2 linked regions of the Neurospora crassa OR74A genome follow. The protein of the gene in region 1 binds, or shares a complex with, the protein of each later gene. Links are inferred from orthologs where the notes say so. Each region holds a gene or a part of one and is shown in the gene's direction. Other genes may lie near its edges. The genes, in order: NCU01772 and NCU02605.

What was found.
Region 2: the proteins of NCU01772 (region 1) and NCU02605 are in contact, whole or in part, in a cryo-EM structure (PDB 7Z0H), measured with the Saccharomyces cerevisiae proteins. The link is inferred for Neurospora crassa OR74A from reciprocal best matches to the Saccharomyces cerevisiae genes RET1 and RPB10. Residues at the interface, in NP_014850.1 of Saccharomyces cerevisiae: Glu168, Met171, Ala172, Asn175, Glu176, Cys177, Pro178, Ala712, Ala714, Tyr715, Asn716, Gln717, Phe718, Lys719, Thr729, Tyr730, Pro731, Gln732, Gln733, Met735, Asp747, Lys748, Leu749, Pro750, Gln753, Asn754, Ala755, Thr756, Ser776, Ser777; in NP_014853.3 of Saccharomyces cerevisiae: Met1, Ile2, Pro4, Arg6, Cys7, Phe8, Ser9, Cys10, Gly11, Glu32, Gly33, Leu36, Lys42, Arg43, Tyr44, Cys45, Arg47, Arg48, Met49, Leu51, Thr52, His53, Val54, Leu56, Lys59, Phe60, Arg62, Tyr63, Asn64, Pro65.

What each region holds. Positions count from the first base shown.
Region 1 is NC_026502.1:2,490,381-2,494,302, forward strand, and holds the start of NCU01772 (DNA-directed RNA polymerase III polypeptide), read left to right. Parts: upstream 1-894; 5' UTR 895-1,080; coding exon 1,081-3,922. UniProt on the Saccharomyces cerevisiae protein: DNA-dependent RNA polymerase catalyzes the transcription of DNA into RNA using the four ribonucleoside triphosphates as substrates. Second largest core component of RNA polymerase III which synthesizes small RNAs, such as 5S rRNA and tRNAs.
Region 2 is NC_026501.1:2,876,346-2,879,375, forward strand, and holds NCU02605 (DNA-directed RNA polymerase I/II/III subunit 10), read left to right. Parts: upstream 1-1,171; 5' UTR 1,172-1,268; coding exon 1,269-1,304; intron 1,305-1,375; coding exon 1,376-1,437; intron 1,438-1,500; coding exon 1,501-1,587; intron 1,588-1,640; coding exon 1,641-1,710; 3' UTR 1,711-2,519; downstream 2,520-3,030. Other genes in the region: NCU02604 (hypothetical protein), read right to left, coding at 1-482, 533-894. UniProt on the Saccharomyces cerevisiae protein: DNA-dependent RNA polymerases catalyze the transcription of DNA into RNA using the four ribonucleoside triphosphates as substrates.

The sequences.
Region 1 (3,922 bases):
ATTCAAGCAAGGTAGCACCCTGCTGGAGCTGGCCTAGGAAAAGATGGGTACCTACCTACACTATGCTGTAAGACACGGCCAACGGTGATGCGACTCTTTGACGTTTGTATAGTCAGCCAGAAGCATAACCCTTCTCTGATTCTTGAAGCCTGAGCAGGTCACAGCACTTGGGAATAACATCAACCTCCGTTGTATGCGATTAGCAATTCAAAGGCTGCCATATCAACGAACAAAGACCGAAGAAGACCATCAACATGATAACAGGTAGGAGAGAAATAGTGAACGACCCGGCAGGTGATTTCATAACCAGAAGCTCTCCCCTGTTGACTGGTGTGTCGATCGAAGGCCCGGCTTCCGCTTGGCGCGGCTAGATTCAGCAGAACGGATACATAGCTATCTTGAGGTTACCTAGCTGGCCTGACCCCGCTACAAATTGTTCAAATCGCTGTGCTAGTTGAAGTTGGATAGGTAAATACAACCTACCACCAGGAGGCAGATGTGTCGGAGTTGCACAGAGGCGGGGGTTCCTTATCACGAACATCAAAGTGACGGTCCGGAGTCAAAGCAAAAGGAAAGGTTTCAAAGGTACCCGACAGGTGGAGGGCACGGCCAAAAGTGGAACAAGGAACCTACATAGGTATATGTAACTGTCAATCAGGGGTCCAAAACGTGGGCGCTAACAATTTTGGCCTCGGCATACCAGTTAGGTACCACTGCAGTCACTAGCAGTCACCGGTCACCGCACCACAACACTACCTCTAGTGTAGTGCACTACACACACTAACAGTCAAGCACAGACCACTCCCGCCCCGTCGTCCCCCACCGCCCCAGCCGCGGCTTACCTCTACTGACCTAACAAGAAATGGCAGCGGCCAGCCCGTAGAAAAAGTTTATCGCAACTAATCCTTATCAATTTGCCGCGGGGCCAAAAATCACATCGAAATCTACCTACACAACTGCAAGGCGTATCTTCTCAACCAAACACACATTCCCGGTCGTTCCGCGCCCATCATCGCCATCCTCCATTCCTCCGGCCCGATCGATACGACGAACCGTCACCCGCAGTTAGCACATGCAAGGATGGCGGCTCTCGACGATGGCTTTGAGGCCCTGCTGGAGCCGTTCTACAATGGCAAGAAGCTGACCGATCCCATCTCGACCACGCAGGACAAGTTCCATCTTGTCCCGGCCTTCCTCAAGGTCAAGGGCCTCGTCAAGCAACACATCGACTCGTACAACTACTTCGTCAACGAGGAAATCAAGGACATCGTTAGGGCCAACCGCGTCGTCCGCAGCGACCAGGACCCCAACTTTTGGCTCGAGTTCAGAGACATCCGCGTCGGCATGCCCACCCGCACCGAAGATGGCGAACAAGTCCAGTCTCGAAACCCCGTCACCCCCATGGAGTGCCGTCTCCGCGACCTCACCTATGCCGCCCCCGTCGAGGTCGACATCGCCTACACCCGCGACAAGAACGTTATCGTCCGCAAGAACATCCCGCTATGCCGCATTCCCGTCATGCTCAAGAGCGCAAAGTGCTACCTCAACGGCGCCACCAATGCCCAGATGGAGGTCTTCAACGAGTGCCCTCTCGATCCTGGTGGCTACTTCGTTATTGGCGGAACCGAAAAGGTCATCTTGATTCAGGAACAGCTTAGCAAGAACCGTATCATTGTCGAGGCCGACGAGAAGACCGGCGGAGTCATGGCCTCGGTTACCAGTTCCACACACGAGAGAAAGTCAAAGACTTACGTCGTACTCAAGAAGGACCGGATTGTCCTGCAGCACAACACCCTCTCCGAGCCCATTCCCATCGTCATCGTTCTCAAGGCCTTCGGTGGTCTTTCCGACAACGACATCATCGAGCTGGTTTGCGGTGGCGATGCGCGCTACCAGGACGATTTCCTCATCAACTTCGATGAAGCCGGAAGAGCTGGTGTCTACACACAACAACAAGCGTTGGAATACGTTGGTGCTAGAGTCAAGATGGGCGGTAACAGACCCAAATTCGGTGCCGCTCCTCGAAGAAACCATGCTGAAGAAGGTCTCGACGCACTTGCGAACTTAGTTATCGCGCACGTTACTGTTGAGGGTCTCGACTTCTATCCCAAGGCCGTCTACATTGCCATGATGGTTCGCCGCGTGCTGATGGCAGCTCAGAATCCCAAGCTCGTCGATGACAGAGATTTCGTCGGCAACAAGAGATTGGAATTGGCTGGACAGTTGATCTCCCTTCTATTTGAAGACTTGTTCAAAAAGTTCATTTCAGACGTCAAGTACAACATTGACAACTTTTTCAAGAAACCCAACCGTACCTCTACGTATGATCCCCATGGTGCGATCATGGCTAACGGCCATTATATCTCTCACGGTCTTAACCGCGCCATTCAGAGCGGCAACTGGACGGTCAAGCGTTTCAACATGAACAGAGCCGGTATCACCCACGTGCTCAGCCGACTCAGTTATATCGCTGCGCTGGGTATGATGACGCGTATCAGCTCACAGTTCGAAAAAACAAGAAAGGTTTCCGGTCCAAGAGCCCTACAGCCCTCACAGTGGGGTATGCTCTGCACCTCTGATACACCTGAAGGTGAAGCCTGTGGTCTGGTAAAGAATTTGGCACTCATGACACACATTACCACGAATGTGCCGGAGGAACCAGTTAAGAAGATGATTTTTGCTGCTGATGAGAGCGTGGGACCGATCCGAGAATACACCGGAACAGAGATGCACAGCAAAGGCTCGTATATCATCCATTTGAACGGTACACCATTTGCTGTGACCAGGGAGCCAAAGCGGTTTGCCGCCAGGTTCAGAACTTTGCGTCGCCGGGGCTGGGTCTCTCCTTTTGTGAGCATCCACATCAACGAGCACTTCTCGGCGGTTCATATCGCTACCGATGAAGGACGTATTTGCCGCCCGTACATCATCGTCAAGAACGGCAAATCCATGTTGAAGGCAGAGCACCTGAAGATGCTTCAACTCGGGCAAGCGACATTCGACACTTTCCTGACCAGCGGCGTGGTTGAGTATCTCGATGTCAACGAAGAGAACGATACCCTTGTGGCGCTTCAGGAGGATCAGATCACCAACAGCACTACGCACATGGAAATTGAGCCGTTCACGATTCTCGGAGCAGTCGCTGGTCTAATTCCCTTTCCCCATCACAACCAGTCTCCCCGTAATACTTACCAGTGCGCCATGGGTAAACAAGCCATTGGTGCTATTGCCTACAATCAGTTCAACAGAATCGATACCCTTCTTTATACCCTTGTTTATCCCCAACGACCAATGGTCATTACGAAGACGATTCAACTTATCCACTACGACAAGCTCCCGGCAGGACAGAACGCCACCGTCGTTGTCATGTCTTACTCTGGCTACGATATCGAAGATGCGCTTGTTCTGAACAAGGCTTCTCTAGATCGTGGATTCGGCCGCTGCCAAGTGTTCCGCAAGTATACCGCCGAATTGCAAGGCTATACGAATGGGCGCCGCGACAGGGTTGGCGGTATCATGAAGGACGAAGACGACAAGCCCATTGTTAAGCACGCCATCCTCGACGCCGATGGCCTGGCCCAGGTGGGCTCAAAGGTTGAATCCGGACAAACGATGATCAAGAAGGAGACCCCGTTGGACCAGATCTCTACTGGAATCGCTGGCGATCGTGGGTCAGACGATTACCGTGACGCATCAACCAACTACCGCATTTCCGACCCCGCCATCATCGACAAGGTCATGATTTCGGTCAACGAGCGCGAGAACAAGTTGATCAAGGTCCAAACCCGCCAGACCCGTAGGCCGGAACTTGGTGACAAATTCTCGTCCCGTCACGGTCAGAAGGGTGTCGTCGGTATCATCGTCAACGAAGAGGACATGCCCTTCTCCGACAAGGGCCTCCGCCCCGATATCATCATGAACC
Region 2 (3,030 bases), on another chromosome or scaffold:
GTAGCGTCTCCTTCGCGGCAGCAACAATGAGTCTGCCACCAGCAGCGGAACGAAGCAATTGCGGGTTCTCGTCGTATGTGTGGATAAGCTTGCCGGTCTTCTTACGGAGGGCCTTGAGGTCGTAGGCCACGATTTGCGCCGAGGACTTGGTCAACTTCTGGAGAATAAACAGGACATCTTCTTGCTTGTCGCGGATATCAACCGATTCGACGGTCATGTCGAGGACTTTCTTGACGTCAATCGTGAAGGGTGTTTCGGCGCCTTCACCTGTCGCCCAGTTAAGGTGCCAGATGCGGCCATCTGAGCATGCAACCCAGAGGAATTCGGGTGCGCTGGCGGATAGCGCAGACGCAACGATGTGGGGAGAAGAAAGTTCGGCGCCGCTGTCGAGCTTGGTGATGGGAAGGGAGATCCTCCTGACGAGCAGGGAATCCTCGGTGGAATAGACTTGAATTGATGTGTTGTAGGTGATAAGGAGGTATCTAAGTCGCATTAGTAGAGCCCCTGCCTGGGGGACTGGTCTCAAACGAACCGTTCATCCAAGGAAAATATGGGATCGATGTCGAGCATGCGGCCGCCCATAGGATTCGATACCTTCCATGCCGATGTGTTGCGCGTCGTCAAGGTATTCGAAGCATCCGTAAGTTCCAAATCGCCATTGGTCGTTTGCAAGTCTTTGTTCTCGAAAAGGGTGCTTTCTTGGGAGTCGGTAGTATCGTCAACATTGCCATTGGCGGCAGCAGGCTGGGTCTTTGGTTTCGATCGTTGCCTTTTTTGCGAAGCGGTCGTCTCTTCCTTGGGCTCTCTCTTTCTCTTCTTGAGCGAGGCAGTTTCACCATTCGCATCCATCTTGGGCGCCTTCGAGGTCTTGCGAGGAGTGCGTAGCTCCACCATCTTGTCCTTTGAGTATATGACGATGCAAGTCTGGCAAGGAACACACGATTTGTCGTACCGAGCTTCATGTCCGCCTCATCCTCCCAGCAGAAGAAATTTTGGCGGAGTACCCTTCGAAAAGTTAATGTGGGGCAGCTTTCTTATCGGTGATAAGGCTGAAGTGACCAATCAGACCCTAGAAAGTCAAATTTGCTGGGGCCTTCCGACCTCACAGGTAAAGTTGCCGCCTCGCCCTTCAAAGTTCATGCTGAAACTTGCACCGTCACTACGACCAATCTTGCACCACCATCTTGCCAGAAGCCGGTCGCTCATCTGCCGCGAACATCGCCATCCCGCCAAACACTTTTTTGTAGGCTTTCGACTCGCTAACAAAAATGATCATTCCAATCCGATGCTTTTCGTGCGGCAAGGTACGCGACGCGACGCGCCCCGCTTCCTCCGCCATTTACCCGTTAACAAGGTTACTGACTTTGGCACATAGGTGGTGGGTGATCTCTGGGAGAGATACCTGCAGCTGATCGATGGCGAGGAGATCACCGATGGGTATGCGACATCTACAAACGACTTTCGATTTACAAATAACAACAACTGACAGACGATGATTAGTGATGCTCTGGATCAGCTCGGCCTCAAGCGCTACTGCTGCCGTCGCATGGTCATGACCCACGTCGACCTCATCGAGAAGCTTCTCAAGTACGTTCTTGTGGACTCGCCGCGCTGGACCTTGGTGGCTGACTACGCTCTAGGTATACTCCCGATGGTCGCAACGTCAAGAAGATCGAGATGCAGACACGCAATGAGGAACAGGGGATGTAATATGCCCGAGCGGTCGAAGAATTCATCATCAACTATTCGGGAAAGCCGACCACTCTATCGTCCGGGAAGAGAAAACTGCATGATCATTAGGCGTTTGGGAGTATTAAGACAACTGTACCGGGCAGGGTATAGAAGCGGCCCTGGTCTCGCATCCAGGAGGCCGAAAGCAAGAGCTTGATTTGGTTGTGCTTTTCTTTGGGTTAGAACCTGTGGCGTCAAGGTGCATTTGGGACAACTGTTTCTGGTGTAAGTTCTGTTGGCGGTTAGGTCTACCGGAGCAACATGGCCAGACACAACAGGCTACCTTTTCGGTTTGCAACTACAGTTGAGAGGTTGTGGTACCACGGAGAGCCATTGTCTTTAGCCGGAACGTGGTACTTGCTCCGTGTGGCTAGATGTGTCATAACCAACCACATCTGGTTATCTACATTGGCGACTTACAAGCCGTCATGCTCGCCTGCGTGGTTTCCAACTCCTCGGGTTCGGATGTCTTTTGGGAATGGTGGAAAAGTCTACCGCTTCGGCTGGGCTGGACCGATCGAATACGAAGCGACGCTCGGATTGGATGGTCCTTACAATTTGTGGGGGCATCAAGCCAGTGCAAGGGATGATGGCGCTGGTGAACAAGAGACATTCGCAAAAGGTAGCACGGCCTTCTAAATCACACGTCTCAGTTTATAACATGGGTACAGACTGGGGTAGCCTACGCTATTCGCTCAGATGAGTATGCTGAACGTCATATCTTTCAAAAGTATTTCAAATTCAGCGCCCGGTCAACTCTCTCTTTATGAAGAATTATTCATCTGTGTAGCTTCCACATCCGAATTCCTGATAATTGGTTCACCCATGCCCGTGTCCAGTGACTCGAACTGTATGTATGTGGCAGCGAAGTGAGCGTTGGCCCTGTTCCTAGGCCCGGTTTGGACGCCACTCGGTCAGAGATGCTTTTGCGTTGCTCATCGGTAGCAAATATACTTCCGAAAAATGAGCTTTCGGATTGTCACAAACTTGAACGTTGTCTTTACCGATATGGACCTACCCTCCCACCAGCCGTAGACTTGCATCGCCGGTCAGTCTACGACTTACCTGTTCCCTCAACCATTCATGTCCGTACAAGTGATGGCACGTAAGTTCTCATTTCCAAGACGGTGTAGGAAAGAATGAAGTTCATACTCAAGTGATCTTACCATATCTGTGTAGTAGCCACTTTGCTTCAATATCTCTAGTCTCCTTTGGTTCGTCTCCCCATCCAGTCTTCCATATCTTTTAGCTGATCACCGCCGGATCAGTGTCGTTGGGTCTCGAATCCATCCCAGCAAG